Linked DNA regions of Caenorhabditis elegans. The protein of the gene in region 1 purifies or fractionates together with the protein of each later gene. This does not show direct contact. Each region holds a gene or a part of one and is shown in the gene's direction. Other genes may lie near its edges.

What was found.
Region 2: the proteins of rnr-1 (region 1) and cdt-1 fractionate together in Caenorhabditis elegans (co-fractionation; one large-scale study listed by BioGRID). This does not show direct contact.
Region 3: the proteins of rnr-1 (region 1) and ani-1 fractionate together in Caenorhabditis elegans (co-fractionation; one large-scale study listed by BioGRID). This does not show direct contact.

Annotation. Positions count from the first base shown.
Region 1 is NC_003281.10:9,226,546-9,230,553, reverse strand, and holds the start of rnr-1 (Ribonucleoside-diphosphate reductase large subunit), read left to right. Parts: upstream 1-2,303; 5' UTR 2,304-2,305; coding exon 2,306-2,431; intron 2,432-2,475; coding exon 2,476-2,754; intron 2,755-2,801; coding exon 2,802-3,532; intron 3,533-3,579; exon of another isoform or gene 3,580-3,704; intron 3,705-3,754; coding exon 3,755-4,008. Other genes in the region: T23G5.3 (uncharacterized protein), read left to right, coding at 491-618, 668-970, 1,024-1,138, 1,212-1,319. UniProt on the Caenorhabditis elegans protein: Provides the precursors necessary for DNA synthesis. Catalyzes the biosynthesis of deoxyribonucleotides from the corresponding ribonucleotides.
Region 2 is NC_003279.8:3,226,118-3,230,125, reverse strand, and holds the start of cdt-1 (CDT1 Geminin-binding domain-containing protein), read left to right. Parts: upstream 1-2,021; 5' UTR 2,022-2,158; coding exon 2,159-2,224; intron 2,225-2,283; coding exon 2,284-3,247; intron 3,248-4,008. Other genes in the region: txl-1 (Thioredoxin-like protein), read right to left, coding at 428-678.
Region 3 is NC_003281.10:12,451,470-12,455,477, reverse strand, and holds the start of ani-1 (Anillin-like protein 1), read left to right. Parts: upstream 1-2,275; 5' UTR 2,276-2,293; coding exon 2,294-2,420; intron 2,421-2,485; coding exon 2,486-3,201; intron 3,202-4,008. Other genes in the region: scav-3 (Sensory neuron membrane protein 2), read left to right, coding at 1-131, 428-556, 661-1,042, 1,122-1,365, 1,414-1,609, 1,663-1,752. UniProt on the Caenorhabditis elegans protein: Required for contractile events in embryos that occur prior to mitosis, such as cortical ruffling and pseudocleavage. Promotes membrane ruffling by organizing cortical patches of septins and myosin II. Not generally required for cytokinesis in mitotic cells.

The DNA of each region.
Region 1 (4,008 bases):
TTCAAAAAGTACTGTAATTTTATTACATTACTCTTTAAAGGCGCACATTCGTTTCGTATTGTCGAGACCTTTACGCTTGTCGAGACCAGGTACCGTATTTTTAGAATTAAAAACCGCATAAACTGCTCTGAACACATCAGTTATAAAATATATTAACACTCCATTAAATAGAATAAAACCTCATTTGGTCAACTAACCTTCCCCAAGATTCCCAATGCCTTGTGTTAAATACTCTGCGTATATGTCTACGTCATCAAACATCTGCAGGCCCATTGAATCATTCAAATAATTTTCCACCACCACCCGTTGCCATACTTTTCACCCGACACCACAACCACTAACACCATTCCCTTGACCTCCTCCTGGTGTGACGTAGCGCACTGTTCAAAAGCAATGACCAACTGGTTGTTGGGTGCCTGTGACGTCAATTTGTGACGTAGGCAAGAATGGGGGTTACGGTAGATTGGGAAAATTTGAATGCTTATTTCAGGATGGTAGACTCTTCATCGACCGTGATTCTTCAGTATTTCCGGTTATTCTCAACTTTCTAAGAGATCATGAGAAATGTTCATTGCCAAAAGACGAATATCAGCTTATGCGAATCTTACGTGAAGCGGTGTAAGTTCGGAACAAATCAGAATATTGCAAAAAGTATAAATCATTATAGATTTTTCAAAATTGGACCACTTCGAAACATGATAGAACATAAGCTGCGAACATTTTGTACTTGCCCACCTGAACTTCCATCAACTCCAATACCGAACCAAATCTTGACCCAAAAAGAAAATGTTCCGATTGTCCCACGTAATCTTCTTCTTTCGAAACCACCTCCACCTCCACCACCACCACTTCCGTCATTGATGCAGCCGAAGGATACTGTACAAATTCCGATGAGAAAACCTCCAACTGGCAGAAATTCCAAAAAAATTAAAACGTCTGCAGATTCGATTAGTCTTCCAAGGAACTTTACGTGAGATTTGGATATCTTTTATCTATTAATTACTTACAAAAGTTTATTTTCAGACATATTGCACATGTTGGTTGGAATGGTGCATCGGTACTTTTTGATAAGAAAATGACTGATGATCCGACTGTGAGGAAAATCTGTGATGCTGCTGCAGAGGCAGTTGATCTTAGTGTGAGTAACTTTCTTGAAAATTAGTAGAATATCTATAGAATTATAAAATTAAAATTCATTTATCTATTTTCAGGCGGTATACAATGTTGTCAACAAAAATGCGGATGAGGAGAGCCATAGCGTGGAAGTGCTCATAACTGGAGGATTAATGCAGTCAAGAGATGGAACATCTCGTCACTAACCATTTGAATATATCTGTGTCAAAATAAATTATTTATGTCATGTCTTGCATGCCAACAGATACGCGTTTTTCGAATTTTCGAAAATTCGCAATCACAGCTGGTGGTTTTTTATTGTCTGAATTGACCGACAGCAAATTTTAGTGATCTCTGACAAAACATCAGAAAATAAAAAACTACGCTTTTTTGTCCGCAGTTTGAAAATTTAAGGAAAAACTGAATATAAATATTATTTCATCGAAACATGTTTTTTTCTTTAAAAAATTACCGTACTCTTTCAAAGGCGCACGCATAAAGTTTTTAAATACAATATTTCGTGTCGAGACCATTACAGTAACCCGCGGCAAAATTGTGTTTTACAGCTTTTATTTTCGGGGTTTCTTCTGATCTTATGCATTTTTATGTGGTTTTATTTTGAATTTTACGTTTTTTTTTAAATTTCAGAGCAATGAAATGCGATTATCGGACTTGTCCTAAAGGGCGGAGCCATGGTTAGAGGCGGTGCTTGTGGTGCCGAAGGGTATAAATAGATTTTTTCCTCACACAGAAAACTAAACACATTTTTTGTTTAAATGAAATTCTTCAGCTGTGAATTAATATTTCATTTCAAACTGCCGTAGTTAGAAATGCTCAGGACCGTGGATTTTCGGTTTGAATTTCTAGGCCAATTTTGTGTGTTTCGACATTAGCTCACTTCTATCAGAAAACCATATTGAAGCCAGAATTCGTAGGAAAATATAATGTATTCTGTTTCACTGTAATACTTGTTTTTTCTATGAGACCAAGATTTCAATAATTCGTTTTCCTTTTGAATTTGAATTCCGATGGAGCGCGTTTGTTTGGTCTGCGTCTCGTTTTCGCGCGTTCCTCTATTACCTAGGCGCGAAAACTAGTAAATTTGAGATGAACTGGTCATTTGAAAATTCTCTCCGCTCCTCCATTTTCACTCTTTTCTTCTCAAATTGTTAATAATTCATCTTTTCCAGTTATGCAACGTTACAACAGCACTTATGTTGTCAAGCGGGATGGGCGAAAGGAAGATGTACACTTCGACAAGATCACTTCCAGAATTCAGAAGCTGAGCTATGGATTGAACATGGATTTTGTCGATCCGGTTTGTTATTAAACACAAGTTCAATGATGAATTAAATTTTCCAGGTCGCTGTTGCAATCAAAGTTATCAGTGGCTTGTACAAAGGAGTGACAACTGTTGAGTTGGATAATCTTGCTGCAGAGACTGCTGCTTCCATGACCACACAACATCCGGAATATGCTCTTCTTGCCGCTCGAATCGCCGTTTCGAACTTGCACAAGAAAACGAATAAGGTGTTCTCGGAAGTTATGAAAACCCTTCACGAGTTCCATCATCCTCATACCGGAAAACACGCACCAATGATCAGTGATGAGACTTGGGCTATCATTGAGAAGAATGCTGATGTTAGTTTTCCTAGGAATTGCATTTATTCAAAAAAATTTCATTTCAGAAGCTGAATTCCGCCATCGTCTACGATCGTGACTATTCCTACACCTATTTCGGATTCAAAACACTGGAGCGTTCCTACCTTCTCAAGATAAACAAGGAGATTGTCGAGCGCCCACAGCAGATGTTGATGCGTGTTTCTATTGGAATCCATGGAGATGATATTACTTCCGCAATCGAGACCTATAATCTGATGTCGGAGCGTTACATGACCCATGCGTCCCCAACTCTCTTCAATTCGGGAACATGCCGTCCTCAGATGTCTTCATGCTTCCTTCTGACAATGAGTGAAGACTCCATTCTCGGAATCTACGATACATTGAAGCAGTGTGCTCTTATTTCAAAAAGTGCCGGAGGAATCGGACTCAATGTTCACAAAATTCGCGCCACTGGATCTGTGATCGCTGGAACTAATGGAACATCTAACGGACTCATACCAATGCTTCGTGTCTACAATAATACTGCTCGTTATGTTGATCAAGGAGGAAACAAACGCCCAGGAGCATTTGCTATTTACCTGGAGCCATGGCACGCCGATATCTTCGAGTTTGTATCTCTCCGCAAGAACACTGGACCGGAAGAGGAACGTGCCAGAGACCTGTTCCTTGCTCTTTGGATTCCAGATCTCTTTATGAAGCGAGTCGAGAAGGATCAAGAATGGTCGTTGATGTGCCCATGTGAATGTCCAGGACTTGATGATTGCTGGGGAGAGGAGTTCGAAGCTCTTTACGCCAAGTAAGTATCTCCTGGTTCTTATTTTTTTAATTACCGAAGTGCGATATCCAGACAGAACTTTAAGAGTACTGCTTGGACTGAGTTTACTAACTTCGAATATGAAATAGTTGATCGATAACCGGAATATACTCAAAAAAAAAGGTGTGCTCCGGACAAAAATCAACTAACAAAAACTTTTAAACAGTGAAGTTAAATTTGCAAAGTTCATATCAAAATTTCCAGATACGAAGCCGAGGGACGAGTCCGCAAAACGGTGAAGGCCCGCAAGCTCTGGGAGCACATCGTTTCCAACCAAATCGAGACCGGGCTTCCATACATCACCTACAAAGATGCCGCCAATCGCAAGTCTAACCAGCAAAATCTTGGAACTATCAAGTGTTCCAACTTGTGCACTGAAATCATAGAGTACTCTGCTCCAGATGAGATTGCAGTTTGCAACCTTGCTTCCATTGCTCTCAATCGCTACGTGACCCCCG
Region 2 (4,008 bases), on another chromosome or scaffold:
TAATCCAACTTTTTGATCTAAACTTTATATAGGAATGTAATTTAAAAAAGGTCTGTTCCATGTGAAAAAATTATTTATTTTTTTTGAAAAATTTGAAATAGGCCTCGCACCATTTGAGGCCTTTTTCAAAATTTTCAACAAAAATAAATATTATTTTCAGATGGAACATAAATTTTTTCTACATTTCTATATCAATTTTAGATCAAAAAGTTGGATTATAGCATATTAAAAATGGCAGAGCCCTGTTTTGATTATCTTTAAAAAATTTAATTTGGAAACTCATAAATTTCTTGCAAATTGGCTCGTAAAACCTGCAAAAATCAATATTTTCAAGATATTCAAAATGAAATAATTTCTGAGACTTCACTTTTTTGCAATTTCTTCAAATTTCCCGCATTTCTATTCCAATTCCAGATGAGACCCATACCCGCTCTGGAAAACCATGAACGTTGGCATCGAATTGACACCGTTCTCTGAGCTGGTTTTCTCGCAGATCTCCACATCAACTTTCAGAAAAACTGCTCCAAGATATTGATTGGACAGAGCTTCAAATGTTGGAGCAATCATTTTGCACGGTCCGCACCAGACTGCAGTGAAATCGACAATCACTGACTTGAGACCAGCGAGGGAAAGCTGATTTCTGAAGTCTTCGTCGTCTTTCACGTTGATAACTGGCATGGTGTAGGGGAGATGGGCTGAAAATTAATTTAATATTTAGATTACTGCACTTATTTTTTTAAGGTGGTGTAGTCGAATTTTTTTAAAATTGCTTCATTAGACTCAAAATTGTCTCAAAACACCGAATTTCATGATGAAACTGCTTGAAAACTTCTCAAAAAAAGTTATGACTGCTCAAAAAATGGCCTAAAATTAGTTAAAATTTGAAATTAGACCGACTTTTCAAGCGGCTAAAAACTACCTTTTTTGAAATCACCGTCAAATTTTGAGTATATATAAAATGTAATTATCTTGCGTTTTCAACTCGATTTAGGTATTTTAAAGTCGATGGACGGCGAGATTTGGTTTAAAAAATTTAAAAATCTCGCCGTCCATCGACTTCAAAATATCTGAATCAAATTGAAAATGCAAGATAATATAATTGTATACTCAAAATTAGACGGTAATTTCAAAAAAGTTAGTTTCCAGCCGCTTGACAAGTCGGTCAAATTTCAAATTTTAACTAATTTTAGGCCATTTTTTGAGCAGTCATAACTTTTTTTGAGAAGTTTTCAAGCAGTTTCATCATGAAATTCGGTGTTTTGAGACAATTTTGAGTCTAATGAAGCAATTTTAAAAAAATTCGACTACGCCACCTTTAAAATACGGATTTTTAATCGAAAAATGCAAAATAATCTCAAAAAATGGGAAAAATCCCCAAAATCTAAAGAAAAATTAAAGAAAAAAATTGGGTTTTGAAAAAAGTTGTTATTTTGTAGTTGAATTTGTTGAATTTTTCCCGCTGAAATTCCAATTTTTAAGCTTTCGCATCATTTTTTTTGGGATTTCTGGCAAAAGCTATTGTAAATACTCCCGGAACAATGCACGAATATATTTTAGCTATTTAATACGCAGAAATTGTGAAATTTCGTTATTTTTTGGGCGATTTCTGGGGAAATTTTGACCGAAAAATTGTAATTTCTGGGATCACCGCTTCCAAAATTGTTCAGTTTATAGTTCTAGGAGCAAAAGATATCTCATTCAGAAGAAAAAACGAAAAAAAAATTTCAAAAAATATAGGAATCACGCCAATTTAAATAATTATTCATTAAAAAAAAGATTTTTTGAAGGTTTCCACAGTAAAATGCATTCATTCTCAAACTGATTTTTGGGTAATTTTGGGCATTTTACACGCTAAAATAGGTGAAAAGCACTTTTAAACGCTCTGAACACAATTTTAATATGCAAAAAATAGTATAAATTCCGGAAAATTAAGAAAATCGGCATGAAACGTGGATTTGTCAGCATTCAAAATGAATGCCGGTGCGGCGAGGGAGTGCACGAAGCGTGGAGACGCAGCGGACAACAAACGCGCTCCAATGGACAAAAAGTGCGGGAAACCGGGACTGTTCAAAGTGTACGCTTTGTCTGTCGTCTCTCCCATTTATTTTTTGGTTTTCGCGAATAATTTCGCTGAAATTATTATTTATTCCTGATAAAAATGAGTTCCCGGGTGACTAGATCCAGGTCCCAGACTCCGCAGACTGCTGTAACCGACTTTTTCAAGGTAAATTGGAGTTTGAAGTTATGAATTGCAATTATTTAATGTTTTTTTTTCTTTTTCAGACCACCAGAAAACCGAGAGCAAGAGGAGAAAAGAAGATTATCGATGAAAGCATCACAAAGACCACTACAATTAAAGAAGTACAAATTCCTGCTGCTCCAATCGTCGAGAATAAATCCTCCCGAACTCGCGCTCGGACTCCATCCCGTCAAGCGGAATTATCGAGTTCCGGAACTCCGCCAAAAAAAGCTAGAGAAGCTGAAGCAGAAGCCCCTGAGCTTCCCAAAATCCATGAAGATATTATTCTGGAAAATCCGGCTCCTCAGAAGTCAGCGATCGATAAGCTAATGGAAGCATCCGGCCCAGCGAAAAAGAAGGCTGGAATTCGAACTGTTGCAGATTTACAAGCAAGAATAGCTGCAAAAGGAGCAGCTAAAGCGATTCATGAGCAAAATTTGAAGAACAAAACGAAGCAGGTCGATGATCACGTGGAATTGCTGAAATCTCCGAAGAAACCAGTTATTGTTGAGCATCACAAATCACCTCAGAAATCCAAGGCCGCTCGTAATCTGTTCTCACCGAAGAAGCCAGTTCCAGACTATATTATTCCCGGCTTTAATGTCCTGAAATCGGCCGAAAAAGTTCGCGGAGAGCAGGATGATGCTCACGAAGAAGAGGGAAAACGAATGACTGCAGAGTTTCTGAAGAGCTCACGGCTTATTGATGAAGTTAAGGAGAGTGCACGTCAACGGATTGAACTTCCAACTGCGTATGAACATCTCGCTGATACTTTCAAACGAATCGATCAGATCACTGCGATCTTTATCGGTCAGAATCGAAGCTGTGTGGTTCCTGAGTTGATCAAGAATGTTAAGAATACGTCTGGAAAGGATTTTTCCAATGAACATTTGTCACAAATTCTTCATGTATATCCTCAATCATATCATATTGAGATGCGTGAACAGCGAAAAGCATTCGGCCAGGGCGGGAAGTATGAACTTGAGGTTCGACCGAATCTCGTGGAAGGTTCGTAGCTTTCGGTTGGCAATTTGCAATAAAAACATTTAAAAAATCAGCTATTTCTGACGTATTCCATTAAAATTTAGTGTCAGAAAATAGAAAAAATATTATATTAATCGTAAAATAGCATTCTTTTAAGTTTAAAAAGACTTATCGATTTTTCTTCTCTGTTTGATCACCTCCACACATTTTTGAACTCGAAAATATTTAACGATTAATAAAATATTTCTCTATTTTTTAACAGACCCTATTCATGCTCCTGATACTGATTTTTGATGTGAAAATTTTTCAAAAAATTCAAAAAAAAAGCCCTGGTTTTATATTAATTTTTGGAAATTCTAAAAATACTAGCTTTGCTCAAAAAAAAACTGAAAAAAAACACAATTTTCTCTTCAAAAAGTAAGAAAAAACACAGCTTTTTACCAGATGTTCGAAAAAAAAACTTTTTTGTTTAAAAAATCCAAAAAAAAAACAATTTTTTAGTAAAAAAATTCGAAAAAACTCAATTTTAAGAAAAAAATCCGGGAAAAAAACACCGTTTTTTAGTCATAAAATCGGAAAAAAGATAATTCTTTATTCAAAAAATCCGAAAGAGCTCAATTTTTTAGTCATAAAATCCGATAGAACAGCGTTTTTTGTAAAAAAAACCGAAAATACCGAATTTTTATTCAAAAAATCCGAAAAAAAAACACAATATTTCAGTCAAATAATCCGAAACAACGCTATTTATAAATTGGAAAAAACACCATTTTTTGTTCAAAAAATTA
Region 3 (4,008 bases), 3.2 Mb from region 1:
TGAAGGTTACAATTCCGAATATTGTATTTCAAAAGCTCATCGACGCGGCTGATGTGACAATTTTTGGAGTTCGAATCAAATTTGCTATTGAGTCAGTGCTAAAAATGGTCTCCGAGGCTCCGTATATTACGGTATAGTTTTTTCTAAGAATGCGTATTGGACAGCATATTTGACGCGCAAAATATGAAATATCTCGCAGCGAAAACTACAGTAATTCGTTGAATGGCTACTGTAGCGCTTGTGTCGATTTACGGGCTCGAATTTTTTTCAATTCGAGCCCGTAAATCGACAACTCTCCAGCAGTCTCATTTAAAGAATTACTGTAGTTTTCGCTACGAGATATTTCACATTTTGCGCGTCAAATATGTTGTGCAATACGCAATTCTCGGAATTTTGTGCTCTCCGTAATATAATAGTGAAATTTTAGGTAAAAGTAAGCGATGCTCTATTCGACGGATACGAAGACCCGATAATCGATATCGTTTGTAAAAATAAAATTCTTCAATTCCTCTGCGAAACGAATTCTCTTCAGCGGAGAGTTGGATTCTTTTATGGGGTAAGATATGAGTTTGCAAGGTGCCGCACAGAAAAATAGGCGGAGCCAAATTTTGCGCAACCATGCCGCACGGTTTTCCTTCCAAAATATTGATTTTTCTTCAGCAAAATGGAACAACAGACGGAATATACGAAGTGGATGCTGGCGTGCCATCTCCATCGAAAATCGGTCATTTATACACGTGGAATAATATGACAGAAATGCCCGAAGGAACATGGGATACTAAATACGCACGAATGATTAACGGAACCGATGGACAATTGTTCAGTCCGATGCTGAAACGAGAAGACAGATTGACGATATTTGTGCCGCAAATATGTAGATCAATTCAAATGGAATACACAAAAGATGTCGCTGTGAATGGGGTTCCTTCGTGGAGATATGCACCACCTTTGGATCTTTACGATCCTGCTCTTCCGCAGAATCGAGCATTTTGTAATAAGAATGGAATGCCGCGATATTTTGATAATACTACTGTGCAAATTGGTGAGAGAGAGAGAGAGAGTTTTATTTTAAAAAATTCGATTGTAAATTTAAATTTAAATTTTAATATTAATTTTTCCAGAAAACTGCCTCCCTGCCGGTCTTATCGACTTGTCACGATGCCAAGCCGGCAATCCACGTGTCTATCTATCCAATCCACACTTCTACAACTCACCAATGGAGCTGTGGCATTCCGTCACTGGGCTCTCGGTGCCAACTGCTTCAAATGACCTGACTGTTGTAGATATTGAGCCAACTGCCGGCGTTCCAACTCAAGCGAAAAGAATTATGCAGATTAATGTGGGAATGGTCAAGGGATCCTTGAGGTTTACCTATTACGAAATTGAAATCTCTAATAATTATCGATTTTTCAGTGTCACCGAAAACACGACAAACGTCGTTGTTCCAGTCCTTTGGATGAACGAAACTGCGTATTTCGATCAAGGAACTCGTGATCAGCTGATTAATATTTTCAACGCAAAACATTATTCATTTATTGGAGGTGTTATCAGCTTGTCACTTGGTCTTATCGCCTGGCTTGCCGTTTTTGTTGTAATCATTGTTTATTCGGTAATTATATTATTGTTGGTTTTCTGCAAAATTCAATTTCCTCTAATTTACAGCGACAATCCGACGAAGAAGAGTACGGACGTCTTGTGCTGGAGGATGAGGACGAAGAGCCTGCGCAAGACGAGAACGCAGTTTTGGCATAAATTTAAAAATTTAAATCATTTTTAATCATATTGTGATAATTTCGAATTTTTGATGCAGGTTGCAATAATTCTGGTGCTCACACGACTTAATATGGCACTTTTTCTTGTAAATATTAATTGAATAAATGATTTTTTTCGAAATTTTTTTTTATTTTGACGAAATCCCGCGAGAGGGAGAGAGAGAGAGAGCACGCGAAAAGAAGAGACGCAGATGCGCGGGATTAAAGGCGCGTTTTTTTTCACGCGTGGGTCCCACCACGCGTCGAGACCTGGTTGCCGCCAAAACAATGTATTCAAATTTTGCAACTCGATTTTAAACGTTTTTCGATTTTTTGACGTGAATTTTCACATTTTTCCTGTTTTTTGACACGTTTTCCACGAATTTTGCCCGATATAAACGCGTATTAGTCAATTTTAATTATTTTCTACAAGAAAAGCTGCGAAAAGTGCGTCGTTTTACGAATTCGTTGAAACTGTTCGCAAGTTTTGATGAGATTTTCTTGGAAACATTGTTTTCTTGCAGAACTACACTGTAAATACAATGGGGGATCAATTCGATTCTCTAATGGAACGCATACGAGTTCGGCAAGCCGAAATGTCAGGCGAAGGAGAGGTGGCAAAGGAGAATGGGCCAGTGACCTCAAAAATTACATCTGTGAAGCAAGAAGGTATATTTTGGGGTTTTTAAGAATACAGAAATATAAATATATTAATTAATATGTTTGATTTTCAGTTGCATCTCCAACAAAAGTCTTCGGAAGCTCCTCAAAATGCAACGACGGCCCGTCAACTCCAGTGCATTTTCACCCTCAAGAGCCAAAGGAGACAACTCCAAATATGAAGGAAAACGCTGAAAATTCATTAAATTCGTTCAAAGATGCCACAGTCAACGAGTCAAGCTCCAAAAAGACGTCGAGATTCTCAATGTTGGCTCAAGAAATCGATGAATACGAATATGACTACCAATCACAGTACAATAAGCCGAAAGAAGCATATATGAAGGGAAGATCTCCACGAATGTCGATCGGAGAGACACGTCCAGCAGTCCTGTGTACTCCGGCTGGAGCACAAGCCATGAAAAGCCCAAATGTAGCGGTATCGTCGAAAAGTGCTCCCGAAATCGCTCTCGGAATGTCGGATTTCGAAGCTCGCCGCATCAAATTCGCCCAGCCAATTGTGAATGTGAACTATCTGCCCAACGAATCGTCGATTTTCTCCGGAGGATCCGGATCATCTGTAAACGATCAGAGCACTGTGCTCGGAGGCTCTGCCGAAATGATGAACGTCACCACGTCGTCGCTGAGCTGTGGAGAGCTGTCGATGAATCAGCATATAACACACGAAAATACGATTATCAACGCACAATCGTGTGATAATCGAGAGGCGATTTTGAGAGAAAGACAGCAAGTTTCAAACGAAGAATATGGACCGCACACATTTATGAGAAAGGTAGAATGTTGGGAAAAGTCAATGTCCCTTTAACGAGCTCGTGTACTGTGCGTGGACAATCGCGAATTTATTTTCGTGCAGGATTTCACGGTTTTTCGTTAATTTTTCTCATTCAAAATTGCCAATCTACCTAATATTGTCGTATTTTCTCAAGATTTTGACTTGCCTTCTTAAAGGTGGATTACGCTCATTGGGGAAATTGCTTTAAACCCGCCTATGGGGTCACAATGACCGAATATCATAATAAAAAAATTTTCTAGGTTTTATATGATTTTTTGAAAATTGAAAAAATCTCAGTTTTTGCCTAATTCCTATTTGAATTACCGCCAATTGGATTTGTTCGATGGAGCGCGCTTGCGCGTTTTTAAATTTATTTATTTTATTTTTTTTTGTTATTTTCCACCGATTTTTCATGTTTTCTGTGTATTTTTACAGAAAATTTGAAGGAAAAGTCAAGACAAATGCAAATTTTCGATTAAAAAGCACGCTTACGAGCGTAAAAATGGAAAAGTAACGCTTTTAAACGATTTCGAACCTGAATTAATTAATTTCACTGATTTACGCCTGTACGTTTGCTTTTTAATCGAAAATTTGCATTTATCTTGACTTTTTCTCTAAAATTCGAGCAAAAATACACCGAAAACATTAAAAAATTGGTGGAAAATAACAAAAAATAAAATAAATGAATTTAAAAACGTGCAAGCGCGCTCCATCGAACAAATCCAATTGGCGGTAATTCAAACAGGAATTAGGCAAAAACTGAGATTTTTTCAATTTTCAAAAAATCATATAAAATTTAGAAAATTT